Linked DNA regions of Macaca mulatta. The protein of the gene in region 1 interacts with the protein of each later gene in a pairwise test. Links are inferred from orthologs where the notes say so. Each region holds a gene or a part of one and is shown in the gene's direction. Other genes may lie near its edges.

The links. The genes of interacting proteins can lie anywhere in the genome.
Region 2: the proteins of IFT25 (region 1) and IFT27 interact in binary tests that used the Homo sapiens proteins (3 or more experiments, as listed by UniProt). The two-hybrid records come from large-scale screens. The link is inferred for Macaca mulatta from reciprocal best matches to the Homo sapiens genes IFT25 and IFT27.

The regions. Positions count from the first base shown.
Region 1 is NC_133406.1:186,670,400-186,677,121, forward strand, and holds the start of IFT25 (intraflagellar transport protein 25 homolog), read left to right. Parts: upstream 1-2,285; 5' UTR 2,286-2,302; coding exon 2,303-2,400; intron 2,401-6,722. UniProt on the Homo sapiens protein: Component of the IFT complex B required for sonic hedgehog/SHH signaling.
Region 2 is NC_133415.1:14,784,229-14,790,429, forward strand, and holds part of IFT27 (intraflagellar transport protein 27 homolog), read left to right. Parts: intron 1-875; coding exon 876-935; intron 936-3,065; coding exon 3,066-3,183; intron 3,184-4,087; coding exon 4,088-4,197; intron 4,198-6,201. UniProt on the Homo sapiens protein: Small GTPase-like component of the intraflagellar transport (IFT) complex B that promotes the exit of the BBSome complex from cilia via its interaction with ARL6. Not involved in entry of the BBSome complex into cilium. Prevents aggregation of GTP-free ARL6.

The DNA.
Region 1 (6,722 bases):
ATGTTAGTACGTAGTATATTATACTATTAGCTTCATGCTTATTCATCTTCCTTGACTCTGAAACTTGAAGGCAAGAACCAAGTCTTAGTCCCTAGGTTGTTATATTCGTCTTTGCAATACTAGCACAGTGCTTGGCCCTTAGTTCAACTGGTGTTCAAAAATGTTGATGGAATGTGGTACTTCCTTAAACTCTAAGATAGCATTCCATTACCTTTAGGGGCAGATAGAGTACACTGTTGCCTTATATTGACTTTGTGATCAACCAAACCTATATGTATCAGATCAGAGGTTGGCACACTTTTTTGTAAAGGGCCAAATAGTAAATATTTCAGGTTTTATGGGCCTTGTAGTCTGTTTCAGTGACTCAGCTATGTCACTGTAACATATAATCAGCCATAGGCAATATATAAGCGAATGAGCATAGCCACTTTCCAATATAATTCATGGACATTAAAATATGAGTTTCATGTAATTTTTGTGTGTCACAGTATATTTTGATTTTAAAAAATATTTTAAAATGTTAAACACATTTTTAGCTTGTGGGCAGTACAAAAACAAATGGCAGGCTAGATTTGGCTCACAGGCAGTAGTTTGCTAACCCCTGATTTAGACTAACCCTTGTATGATTGATTTTTTCCAAAACTGAGTAAAGGTTTTTACTTTTATCCTTATTAGATGACTTACTCATTGCAAGCCATCTTTCTAGCTTACTCATTTCTTTTTGAATGCTAATTCTGTCACCTAGCGTATCAGCTGACATCCCAAGCTTTGTGTCTGCAAAATTGATGAGCATACTTTGTGCATCCTTAATTAATAAAAATGTTGAGTAGGATAAGGATAGAAGTTCTCCACAAGTTCATTTTCTTCCATTAATCATCATTCTTTGAGTATAGCCACTCAGAGTTAGAAATATCTACCTAGAGTACTGGCTGTCACCCAATTCATATTTCTCTGTCGGGTTCACAGGGTATCTTGAGAAGCTTTGTCTGAAGCTTTGTCGAAATGTTTAGAACATGTTCCAAATGGGTAGGAATTCCATCAGACAAACAGAAATGTATAGGTTTGGTTTAGCTTGTAAACTAATGTTACTGCTACTTCCAATTTTAGTACTTCCTTGGTTACATTTTCAAGGCTACCATTTTAATAATGAATTTTAATAATTTTAGGGTTTTGTTGAGAATTAGCATTCAAGTTTATCAATCTGTATTTACAGAATTCATCATCTTTCTCCTCTTAAAACTAAGGCTTGACAATTCATCCCACACTGACTGTTTTTCTGGTATCAATAGTGTCAAAAGCTGTGGTAAGATTGATAGAGAAAAGAGGCACAAAAAATTAAAATATATGTGTTTTCTTACCAATGTTACCACACTTTTAATACTATCGATACTAATTTTTAAAATATAATAGAAAGTGAACTGTATTCTAATAAATAAAAACTAAGAATAAATGCATTTTTATAAAATACTGATACTGGCCGGGCACAGTGGCGCATGCCTTTAATACCAGCACTTTGAAACGCTGAGGCAGGAGGATCACTTGAGGCCAGGAGTTTTAAGACTAACCTGAGCAAGCTGGGTGTGCTGGCTCACGCCTGTAATCCCAGCACTTTGGGAGGCTGAGGTGGGCGGATTACGAGGTCAGGAGTTTGAGACCAGTCAGGCCGACATGGTGAAACCCCGTCTCTACTAAAAATACAAAAATTAACCTGGCGTGGTGGCGGGTGCCTGTAATCCCAGCTACTCAGGAGCTGAGGCAGGAGAATCGCTTGAAACCGGGAGGCAGAGGTTGCATTGAGCCAAGATCGTGCCATTGCACTCCAGCTTGGGCAACAAGAGTGAGACTCCGTCTCAAAACAAAGACTAGCCTGTGCAGCATAGCAAGACCCCATCTCTACAGAAAAAAAAAAAAATTTTTTGGCCTCCCAAAGTGCTGGGATTACAGGCATGAGCCACCGCACCCGGCCTAATTGAGTATTTTTATGGTATTCCATGTTGTTCTCCTCTGTTGACCTTCTTCCTGTACCTCTGTGTTTTTGTTTTTTTGTTTGGCTAGGGTAGTCAGGGACTTATTTTGTGAAGCAGAGTGGCAGAAATAGTCATGTCATATAGATTATCCCTGGGAGAGGTTTCTTATATAAACAAACATGTTAGAGTCCCTCCCACATGTTGAATAGCTTGGCTGTTAAACCATCTGCTAGGCAACAGCCTTTCCTTCTCACTTGGTTTTCTCAGATAAAGTTTAGAGAATCAAGAAGTTGCTTTTTTTGTTATTTTTTGATTTGCAGGTTAAACATTTTAAGATGAGAAAAATTGATCTCTGTCTGAGCTCTGAAGGGTCCGAAGTGATTTTAGCTACATCAAGTGATGAAAAACACCCACCTGAAAATATCATTGATGGGTAAGAGTTACTATAGTTTGTTGTTTACAGTCTTAAATCAGTGAATCCCTTGAGTACTTGGACTGTGTTTTATAACAACTTGCCCTATTAAACATAGTTTAATAAATGTTTGGTGAATTATCTGATATCCACTTTTGGTACCATTTCTGAAACTAATTCAGTTGTGTATATTTAGGTTTTTGATCCTTTTCTTTATAATGCCTAAACTGAACTCTTCATACAAATAGGTTTTTTTAGAAGTGGTTTACCAAGGCAAAAACTCAAACAACTTCATTTTATGGAAGTGTAAATTTTAAGGTCTGGTTTTGGTTTTACTCCAAGTTTTTCTTGGAATAAGAATGTAAATATTATAACTTCCTATATACTACCTATTTCCTTACTGGTCTAAGTGATATCTTTGCAGAACTGAATGCTTCATTCCGTGCTATCACGTATTGTTTTGCCTCTCCCCTTGTTGATATCCTTCCAATTTCTACTCTTCATTGTGCTACAGCTTTTTCTAGGTGGATATTTTTCTAAATATTGTTCTTAGACTTCTGATTCCAAGAAAAAGCAGTTAATGGGAGAACTCCTTTTTTTCTTTTTTTTTTTTTTAAGACAGAGTCTCACTCTGTCACCCAGGCCAGAGTCCAGTGGCGCCATCTTGGCTCACTGCAACCTCCACCTCCCGGGTTCAAGTGATTCTCCTGCCTCAGCCTCTTGAGTAGCTGGGACTACAGGAGTACGCCACCACACTGGGCTAATTTTTGTATTTTTTAGTCGAGACGGGGTTTCACTATATTGGCTAAGCTGGTCTCAAACTCCTGACCTTGTGATCCACCCACCTCAGCCTCCCAAAGTGCTGGGATTACAGGCATGAGCTACTGAGCCCACCTGAGAACTCCTTTTTATTTTGAGACGGAGTTTTGCTCTTGTTGCCCAGGCTGGAGTGCGATAGCACAATCTCGGCTCACCAAAACCTCCACCTCCCGAGTTCAAGTGATTCTCCTGCCTCAGCCTCCCGAGTAGCTAGGATTACAGGCATGCACCACCACGCCTGGCTAATTTTGTATTTTTAGTAGAGATGGGGTTTCTCCATGTTGGTCAGGCTGGTCTTGAACTCCCGACCTCAGGTGATTTGCCCACCTTGGCCTCCCAAAGTGTTGGGATTACAGGCGTGAGCCACCGTGCCTGGTGGAGAACTCCTTTTTTAATACTTCTGGCTTATTACTTTCTTGAACCCTCTTTCTTGGTATATGTACAGTGACCAGAGTTTGACTCATAGAACCATCTAATTTTAGGCCTGGAAGGACTTGTGGGTTTATTTTGCCAAAACCCTTTATTTCAGACTTGTGGTGAGAGAGGTCTAAGGAGGTTAAGTACTACTTTTAATTATTGAAGGCAGAACCAGTTGTAACAGAGGTTTCATGATACTTTATGTATCTTGAAGCCCATGTATCTGGATGAAATTCTAGCAACTCAGCCTCTTCCTTGAAGCCTAGTTGTAATCTTTATGACAACTGACTTTTCCCCTCAGATTCCTTTAGCTCTTTGCTGGGGTCCAATAACAGTTGGTATATACCTCTGTTACCTTACTTTTTCCTTTATTGTATTGTTTATTTTTAATGGTTGTTTCCTCTCTCAACTGTGAATTCCTAGAAGTCAGAGACTTTTTCTATGAGTCAAACTTGACTAATATTGGAAAGTAATCAACATCTACACACACACGCATACATATAAACACATATATATGCACATATTACTCTACATTTGCATAGGGCTTTATAATTTCATAGATACTTTGTCAGTTGACCCTTACAGTAATCTTGGGGAATAAGAAGCACAAAAAAGTATTTTCAACTCCTTCGTAAAGATGAAGAAAAGAATGATCAGATGACTTGCTCAAAATAAAAATGACTTGCTCAAAATTACACAGATAAGCAAGAGGCAGAATCAGCTAACACTCATGTCTTCTAACTTGTACTCAGGGATCTTTGTGCTACACTGGGTTAACTCAAACTTAGTTTGAATCAAAAATTTAATATCTGCTTTTTGCCTGTGTCTCTTCTTTCTTTTTCTTAGTTGTTTACTTCCTGAAATTCAGGTAATAGTTACTATCCTACTCTGACTTGGAGTAGAAAAATTAATATGGGAATTGCTTTAAGAATACACAGAACTGTGGAGATTTGCCTTAAGTTGTTTGCCAGAAATAGAGGACTTTCCAGAAACACTCCTTGATTTTGATTGGAGATAGATTAGTTTTCCAAGGCAAGATCAATTTACCTTGCAATACTTTGGTGATCTTTCTCTCAAGCGAGTCTGTTTTATATGTTTATAGAATGTTAGGATTAGCTATCATATATTGCAGTTAATATTTTAGGCTCTGTCCATTTTGATAAATAAGGACATAATATTTTTTAGATTAGACAAAAACTCTTAGTACAGGAAAACATAAGGAATAATGTAGTTACTCTCCTGATAACTGAACAGAGTACATAGGGGACTTTTAATGCATATGCAGTTCTAGAAAATATAATTAGACTGTATATTGTAGACACTAAAAGTTAATTTCTGGCCAGGTGCGGTGGCTCATGTCTGTAATCCCAGCACTTCAGGAGGCTGAGGCAGGCAGATTAGTTGAGGTCAGAAATTCAAGACCAGCCTAGCCAACTTGGTAAAACTCTGTCTCTACTAAAAATACCAAAAAATTAGCCAGGTGTGGTGGCGTGCGCCTATAGTCCCAGCTACTCGGGAGGCTGAGGCACCAGAATTGCTTGAACCCAGGAGGTGGAGGTTCAGTGAGCTGAGATCATGTCACTGCACTCCAGCCTGGGTGGCAGAGCGAGACTGTCTCAAAGAAAAACAGAAAGTTATTTTCTGTTCACAGTTGCTTTATCTAAATAGAGTAACCATAGAATTATTTGGAGAAAACAGTGCTATAAATGTGTCCCTACGGGATAATGGAATATTGTTTTATGGCCCTGCTCCAAACTCTCCATTCCTTCAGAAATAAGAGTTAAATAAATAGCCAGGCATAGTGGCTGAGGCAGGAGGATAGCTTGAGGTCAGGAGCTTGAGACTAGCCTGGGCAACGTAACAAGACCACATCACTAAAAAAAGAAAATGATTATACTTCTAGTTTTCCTCTGCCCTTTGTATTTAATGTGTCAGTGAAAAAGGGGAAAAGAGGTTCTACACTAGGAAAAAAAAAGCCAAGTAAAAAAGAAGAGAGAGAATCAGTTCTTTTGGTGTAGTGTAGAAGAATACTGTATTTAGAATTAAAATTCCTGGGTAAGTGAACTATGTGTTATCTTGGTCAAAGAGTATATATATTACTCTTTGAGCCTCAATTACTGATCTGAAAAATGGAGGATAATACCACCTTTCCTGCTGACCTCAGAATTGAGAAAAAAATCCCATGAGATAATCCATGTAAAATAGGTGTTAGCTATAAAGTCATATTTAAAAGAAAACTACCACTTTGATGACTTCCTTATATATAATTACAAGATTTAGTTAGATGTCTTTTCTTTTTTTTTTTTTTGAGACAGGGTCTCACTCTGTCACCCAGGCTGGAGTGCAGTGGCATGATCTCGGGTCACTGCAACCTCTGCCTCCTGGGTTCAAGCGATTCTCCTGCCTCAGCTTCCCGAGTAGCTGGGACTACAGGCATGCACCACCATGTCTGACTAATTTTTGTTTTTTTGTTTTGTTTTGTTTTCTGAGATGGAATCTTGTTCTGTTGCCCAGGCTGGAGTGCAGTGGCACAATCTCAGCTTAGTGCACCCTCCGCCTCCCAGGTCCAAGCAATTCTTCTGCCTTAGCCTTCAGAGTAGTTGGGATTACAGGTGCACGCCACCACGCCCAGCTAATTTTTTGTATTTTTAGTAGAGACAGGGTTTCACCATGTTGGCCAGGCTGGTTTAAAACTCCTGACCTCGTGATCGGCCCGCCTCGACCTCCCAAAGTGCTGGGATTACAGGCATGAGCCACCGCACCCGGCCTAGTTACATGTCATTTTAAAATTCAAGTGTATCTCTAACATGATATTTTATGTTATTCTATTGGTTATGTTCATTGAAAGCATCCAAAGAAAAACATGGGGCAATTAAAATTAATTTAATTAATTTCAATAAGTAAAATTTAAAATAATATAAATATGAAAGGAGACTGTAAAATATTAAGCATTTTATAAAAACCCAGAATTTTGAGTTAGGAGAGCTGACCTTGGCTGGACACGATGGTTCATACCTCTAATCCCCAGCACTTTGGAAAGCCAAGGCAGGAGGATCACTTGAGCGCAGAAGTTTGAGGCTACAATGAGCTGTGATTGTGCCACTGTA
Region 2 (6,201 bases), on another chromosome or scaffold:
TCTCTACTATCAAGGTTCCTGAGTCTCTGTATGGGAACCTGGGACTCTTGAAAGTGGATTGCAAGGTGTTATGTATGTGTGTACTTTTCCAGAGAGAGGGTTTGTAGCTTTCACCAGATTCCTAAAGAGGTCTGAGAAAAAAAAAGTATAAGTACTTCTGACGAAGAGAAAGGTGAGTGCCCAGGTAACCAATATGCAAAAGAGACCGTGGCACTGATGTTCAGACGGCGTATGCTGGGGATCAGAGGCCAGCCAGGAAATACCCAGTGCCAGGCGGGAGCTTGGCGGGGAGCCGAGGGGTGATTTCCTAGGGGAGCAGCCCTGGGGGCTCTCACGTGAGCTGGCGAAGGTTTGGACGGGGCAGGAAGGGTCATCCCGCACCCTCTGTCTGCATCACTCCTTAGCCATCCCAGAAGGGTGACAGAATGTCCTACTTTAAACACCTTCCCCAGGCCTACTCAGTGACCTCCTTTAGAAAGAATTGTTCTAAGATTTGAAAATCAATTTGGTTAACAAAGTGCAGAATGACCTTTTGGAAACCAGAGCGCTCGCCGGCCTGTTTAACATTCTGTTCTGCCAGGTGGGAAGTCAGCTTGTTCCTGGTATTTTTGCACTCAGGGTTACAAGAGGTGAGACGCCACACAGAAAGTGCTGGTCGGTGCGAGAACCCGTCGTACCGCCTCTCTAAGACTCTGGAGTTCGCTCCTTTCCCCGTCATCTTCTCTCGTGCCTGGGAGAAAGGACAGAGCATGTGTGAAGATTTGGGTGCCTGTATTTCACCCCTAAGACAAGCCTAGTGTGAGCTGAGAGTGATACCACTGACTCGTAGCTTGCGGTTTTTCCACGTGGAGACTTTCTTGCTTTTCTGATTGTAGGAACTCTTCATTTTCGACTCTGCTGGCAAGGAGCTGTTTTCGGAAATGCTGGATAAATTGGCAAGTAGCACGTGGTCCTTTTCCTGACCATCACCACCTCCCGCCAAAACGCTGGTCCCTGACAGTGCTCACACAGCAGTTTCCCTGCACTGTGCTGTTGGGAAGCTCCCATGGCATTCCTCTTTAAGGGGCGTTCCTCCCAGCCCAGACTCGTGGCTACTTGGCAAGAAGGAGCGGCTGATGCGCGTGACTGCCCGGGCCCCAGCTCCGGGGTGCCCAGGATCCAATGGGCCAAGAGCCTTGTGGCTCAGTCCTTGCAGCCCTCCCCCTGTGAGGCCTCCCTCCTTTAGAGCAACACCCTCCTGATGGTGTCCTTTCAGATGGTGTCCCCTACCTCCCAGGACAGTACAGACTGCCTCCTTCCCCTCTGGGAAGTGCTGTAGAGGCCTCAGCCTATAATGAGGCTCACTTTCTGCTGTTCCACTGGGGTTTACTCCGGGAAATGCCCCTACTGCTGCCCAGGGCTCACCATGCCCCATCCACCCCCGTCCCACCAGCCTCGCAGGATCCGCTTGCTGTACCTTCCATGGTAACAGTCTCACTAATCTGGGTCAGTGAGCTAATTAGAAGGTTTGAGTTCTCCAGAGCCCTCCCCTGCCTTTCCAAGAACAGCCACATTTTAATGGAAACTGTTTTCTGCCCCTTTTTTTTTTGTCGCCTAAGAGAAGTAGATCTAATGATAGTGATTTCATACAGGGTTGGCTTCATGCATCGGTTCACGATGTTCACCCCAATTGCCTACTGTGTGCATGGCCTGGCACTGGGGCTGCCATGCCCGGCAGAAGGGAAGATGTATTTGGGCAAATCCAGGCCATGTGCCACCCGTCAGCTCATACCCTTCCCTCCAGCCGGCCCTGACTCCCGGTTCACCCGCTCTGGCTTTAACTTGATGCCAGGCCTCTTCAGGATCCCCTCACTGAAGCCTGGAAGAAGGAGGGTTTCTTGAGTTAAAACCATGCTGAGGTGTCTCCTGCATGCATGTAACAGAGTTCAGTGTGTTCTAGCAGGAGTTCAAGAGTTAATCTGTGGAGTGAAGGGTTCATCAGTTTAGTTCACGGTCCTCCCATCCTGGACATTGCCAGGAGCCAGCACAGCCTTATAGGGTGAGGAGGAGCCCTCTAGAGTGGACTCTGGGCTGGCCTTCCAAGGATCCAAAAGGGAATCCAATCTGGAGGGAAAAGGATTCTCCTCTGTATCCTGGAAGGTTACTGACACCGCAGAAATAAACCAGGTCCTAATTGTGCAAGGTTGGGGGATCCAGAAACCAGGGCATGACCAAGAGTCACAAGCACCAGGGTGCGCACCCACAGCCTGTACAGGGCCATCCAACATCGGGGTAGGCAGCAGGACACCCCAGGACTCTGAGCAGCCCCTGAAGGCGACAGCCCCCCAGAGTGTAGCCTCGGCTCTTAATTGGGTCATGGAGCCCTGTCCAGTTGTCGGTGTGGTTTGGATTAGGCTGATGCAGGGATGGCAAGAGAAGCAGAAAGTGTCCTCTGCATTTTAAAAAGCCAGCCCTTATTAAGAAGATACAAGCAAACAAGCTCCCAGGGCTGGCTAATGAAGAAAGAATCTTCTTTCAGGGCTGGAAAGCACAGAAACATAACTTGCATGGTGGTAGGCTCTCAATGAGAATGAGTGGAGAATGACTGAACGAGGCCAGCCACAGGTGAAAGCAGATTTCTGGGTAGAGAAGACCTCAGTCGTCCCCCATCTCTGTCATCGTTGTCATTGTTTTTAAAGCCTGTCAGGCCTGGACAAGTCACTTAGCCTCCCTGAATTCGGTTTCTTCAGCTACAAAGTGGAAATATTCAGACACTCCACCGCGTTGGGAGGCTTCACAGTGAGGCGCAGAAGCGCCCAGCAGAGCCTGGCCCAGACAGGAGCTCTCGTCCTTGGCGGCACCGCCCCAGCCCTGCCTCCTGCCACTGAACGGGGCCCTCCGTTCATTCCTTTGGGGAAATTGTTTGACTTCTGTGGGTGTGGCTATTTTCTGACTCCCGTCCCCTTTATAGTTTTCTGTTTCCCTCTGCTCCCCATAGCTTTTCCCTTGAAAGGCCAAATTGTCTCCCAGCCTTGAAGTCACTTTTCCTGTTACTGACCCATGCTCATCCTGTCCCTCTTGCACAGTGGGAGAGTCCCAATGTCTTATGTCTCGTCTATGATGTGACCAGTGAACAGTCCTTCAACAACTGCAGCAAGTGGCTGGAGAAGGCTCGGGCCCAGGCTCCAGGCACCTCTCTCCCAGGTACGAGCTGCAGACACCCATGTTTCCCAGAGGCATCGCTGTCCTTCGGTTCAAGAGCACAAGGGCATTGCAGAGGCAGCTGTGGGTGGAGAAGGGGCCCTGGGCTTTGACTTTGATGGCCTGAGGCATACACTGGCCCTGCCGCTTAGCAGCCATGCCAACCTCGGTGAGTCATCACACACACCTCTCCCAGTCTAGGAAATGGGAATGAGGACACGCACCTGGCAGGGCTGTGGGGCAACTCAATACGGGGAGGGTGCTGTAATATCAGTTGTTAATTCCAGAAAGCTAACCCCAGGGAAGAGTTCCTAATTTTCTCTTGTATATGGGGTACAAGTAAACATTCAAGTCCTGTTGTCACTTCTGAATGCTTTAAATCAGTTTATTTTTCGTCCCTATGTGAGATCAACAAATTCTCCTCATTATAGACCGGGGAAAGTGATCTCCAGAGACAGGCTCAAAAATTAGCTGCAGCTGATGCAGCTGGGAGCTGAACTAAATTACCTCTGAATCCCTGACTCCGAGCCGAGTCCTTAGATTAGTATTAATGACCAGTTTACAGTTTGCTCCATGTGCTAGGAATTATTAAAAGGCTCACATAAATTTGGCCCTCGCCTTCACGCGTTTGCAGCCCTTTAAGGAGGCAAGGGAAACAGATATACATGAGGTCTAGAAAAAAGATCTAGCAGAAGCTGTGCATGAAAAGCAAAGCCCACCTGTCTCTCTGTGGCCGTCAGGGCCAGCATGAGAGACCCCCGGCTTTCCCTGTGGGGTCTCACCACCTTGAGTCAGGCAGCTCTTAGAGGATGCTTTACACCCCTCAAAAATAGTGCTCTCATCTCGCCCGCTGTCCTTCCAGACTGTGACAGTGAAGTGTCATATTTTGGTTGTTTCTTCTGAGTAGGTGTTTTAGTTGGGAACAAGACAGACCTGGTCGGCAGGCGAGCAGTGGACTCAGCTGAGGCCCGGGCATGGGCGCTGGGCCAAGGCCTGGAATGTTTTGAAACATCCGTGGTGAGTATCTCCGCTTGCCTCGTCGCCAAGTCTGGAGTGGGCCTCTGCTGGCAGCGGTCTTGCACATGACCTCACGTGCAGGGAGCTGTTATTCCACCATATGCAGAGTCTCATTTGGAACTGATGTTTACATTCTTAGCCCAAGATCTCTTCTCAATACAGCAGTAGCCGCTTAGACATAACAGGAAGGCAGATTAGCCAGCCAACCCTGGGAAAAGGTGTATCTCAACTAGTAAGAAACAGAAGTGCATGGTGTGCGGTGATCATGACCCTTGACGTTTGCATGCGGTATTCTGGGTTCAGATGTTGCTGGAACATTGTTTCCTGTGGCGCTCACAATCAGGCCTGTGAACCAGAAGTTGGCTTCACAGTTCCCATTCCAGTGTTGAGCTGCTGAAGTGACTTGTCCAAAGTCCCATGATTAGTGAAGGGTGGAGCCAGGACTAGGACTTGTGGCCTCTAATTCCCATCAGTGCTGCCCATCCTCACCTTGCTGCAGCCCCAGGGTGACTCCAGGCCACAAAGTTCCTGCCAGTTAAAAGATCAAAAGACCTCATTAAGTAGAAAAAGCAAGTGATTTGTTATCAGCATCTTCAGTACACTTTTCATGGCAAAAGCTGCAATTACTTTTGCACCAACCTCATGTATCATGATTTTAGCTGTCCAGCACTGAGGAACCCGCTTCCTGTGTTTGGGAGTTTTAAAGTCCCTTCCTCCCTGAGGCCAAGATGCAGGCATGTGACCCAAGCTGCATCAATCAGATCCCTCACGTGAGACTCCACTAGGAAGGGCATGAAGTGATGACCTGCCCTCTAGGAGCAGGAGTGGCCCCAGACATCCATCTCAGAACCAGCAGGGGTCGGGGTGTTGGTTGCCCTGCCCCTTGCCAGGGTTGCTAGCTGGGGAGACCACCAGGCCTGGCACAGTCATGGTCATAACTTGGACCTCATCTTGTGGCCTTTAGACCTGATTCTGTGGCCCTCAAAAGAGTCATGGGCTGGTTAATGTTCTGGAGATCGTCTTCGCATGGGCTGGTTAATGTTCTGGAGATCATCTTCGCATGGGCTGGTTAATGTTCTGGAGATCATCTTCGCATGGGCTGGTTAATGTTCTGGAGATCATCTTCGCATGGGCTGGTTAATGTTCTGGAGATCGTCTTCGCATGGGCTGGTTAACGTTCTAGAGGTCATCTGCTGCCCCAGCTTGACTTTGGCTCTAGGCACTTCCGCTGTTGCATCTAGGAACCTTGACCAGTGCTGCTGTCCAAGCTTATAAAATCCCCTCAAAGCAGCATGCTTCCTTTGCAGTGGTAAAGGCAGCCACTCTGACCTCCCATGGAGAGCAGGAGAACTCGCCATGGGAACCTGGACATGTTATTTCAACTGTTGGTGCCTCAGGCCTGTAAAATGAGGATAATAAAATACATCCCCATTGAGTAATAAATATGAGAATCAAGTAATATGGTGCATATAAAACACGGATCACAAAGTCTGGCGCCTGGTAAACACTCAGTAGATGTTAGCTTTCTTAAAGTATAAATGTTGCCCCTGGAATCTTGTTTATACTGTTATTACTTACTAAATCCTTGTATTCATGGCTTGTGCAGAGGTAAATATCACCCTTGCCCCTGGTCCAATTATCACAAATGCTAAATTAATGAAGTCCAAATCAGCTTTTCCTGTACAGTAGGTTCCTCATCTTTTCTGCAGCACACCTTTGTGCAAAGCAGTAGGCAGTAGTGCCCTAGCAAACAGGATTTCAGTATTCCCCCTTCCTCCATTCATTTGTGAAATTGTCCCCGCACCCCAATATTCCATATTCCCTGGAACACTTGATAGAACTCAGAAATTAAAACCCACCCCAACCTCCAAAACATGAGTCACCAAAGGCCAGTGGGCTACCGGTTAAACTCTATTCAGGTGTTGAAGTGGGTGGGTATAAACTATGCTTGAAGAGGCTGCAGTAAGCACTTGCTATTATCTGTGCAAGTTAACTAGTCCCCCC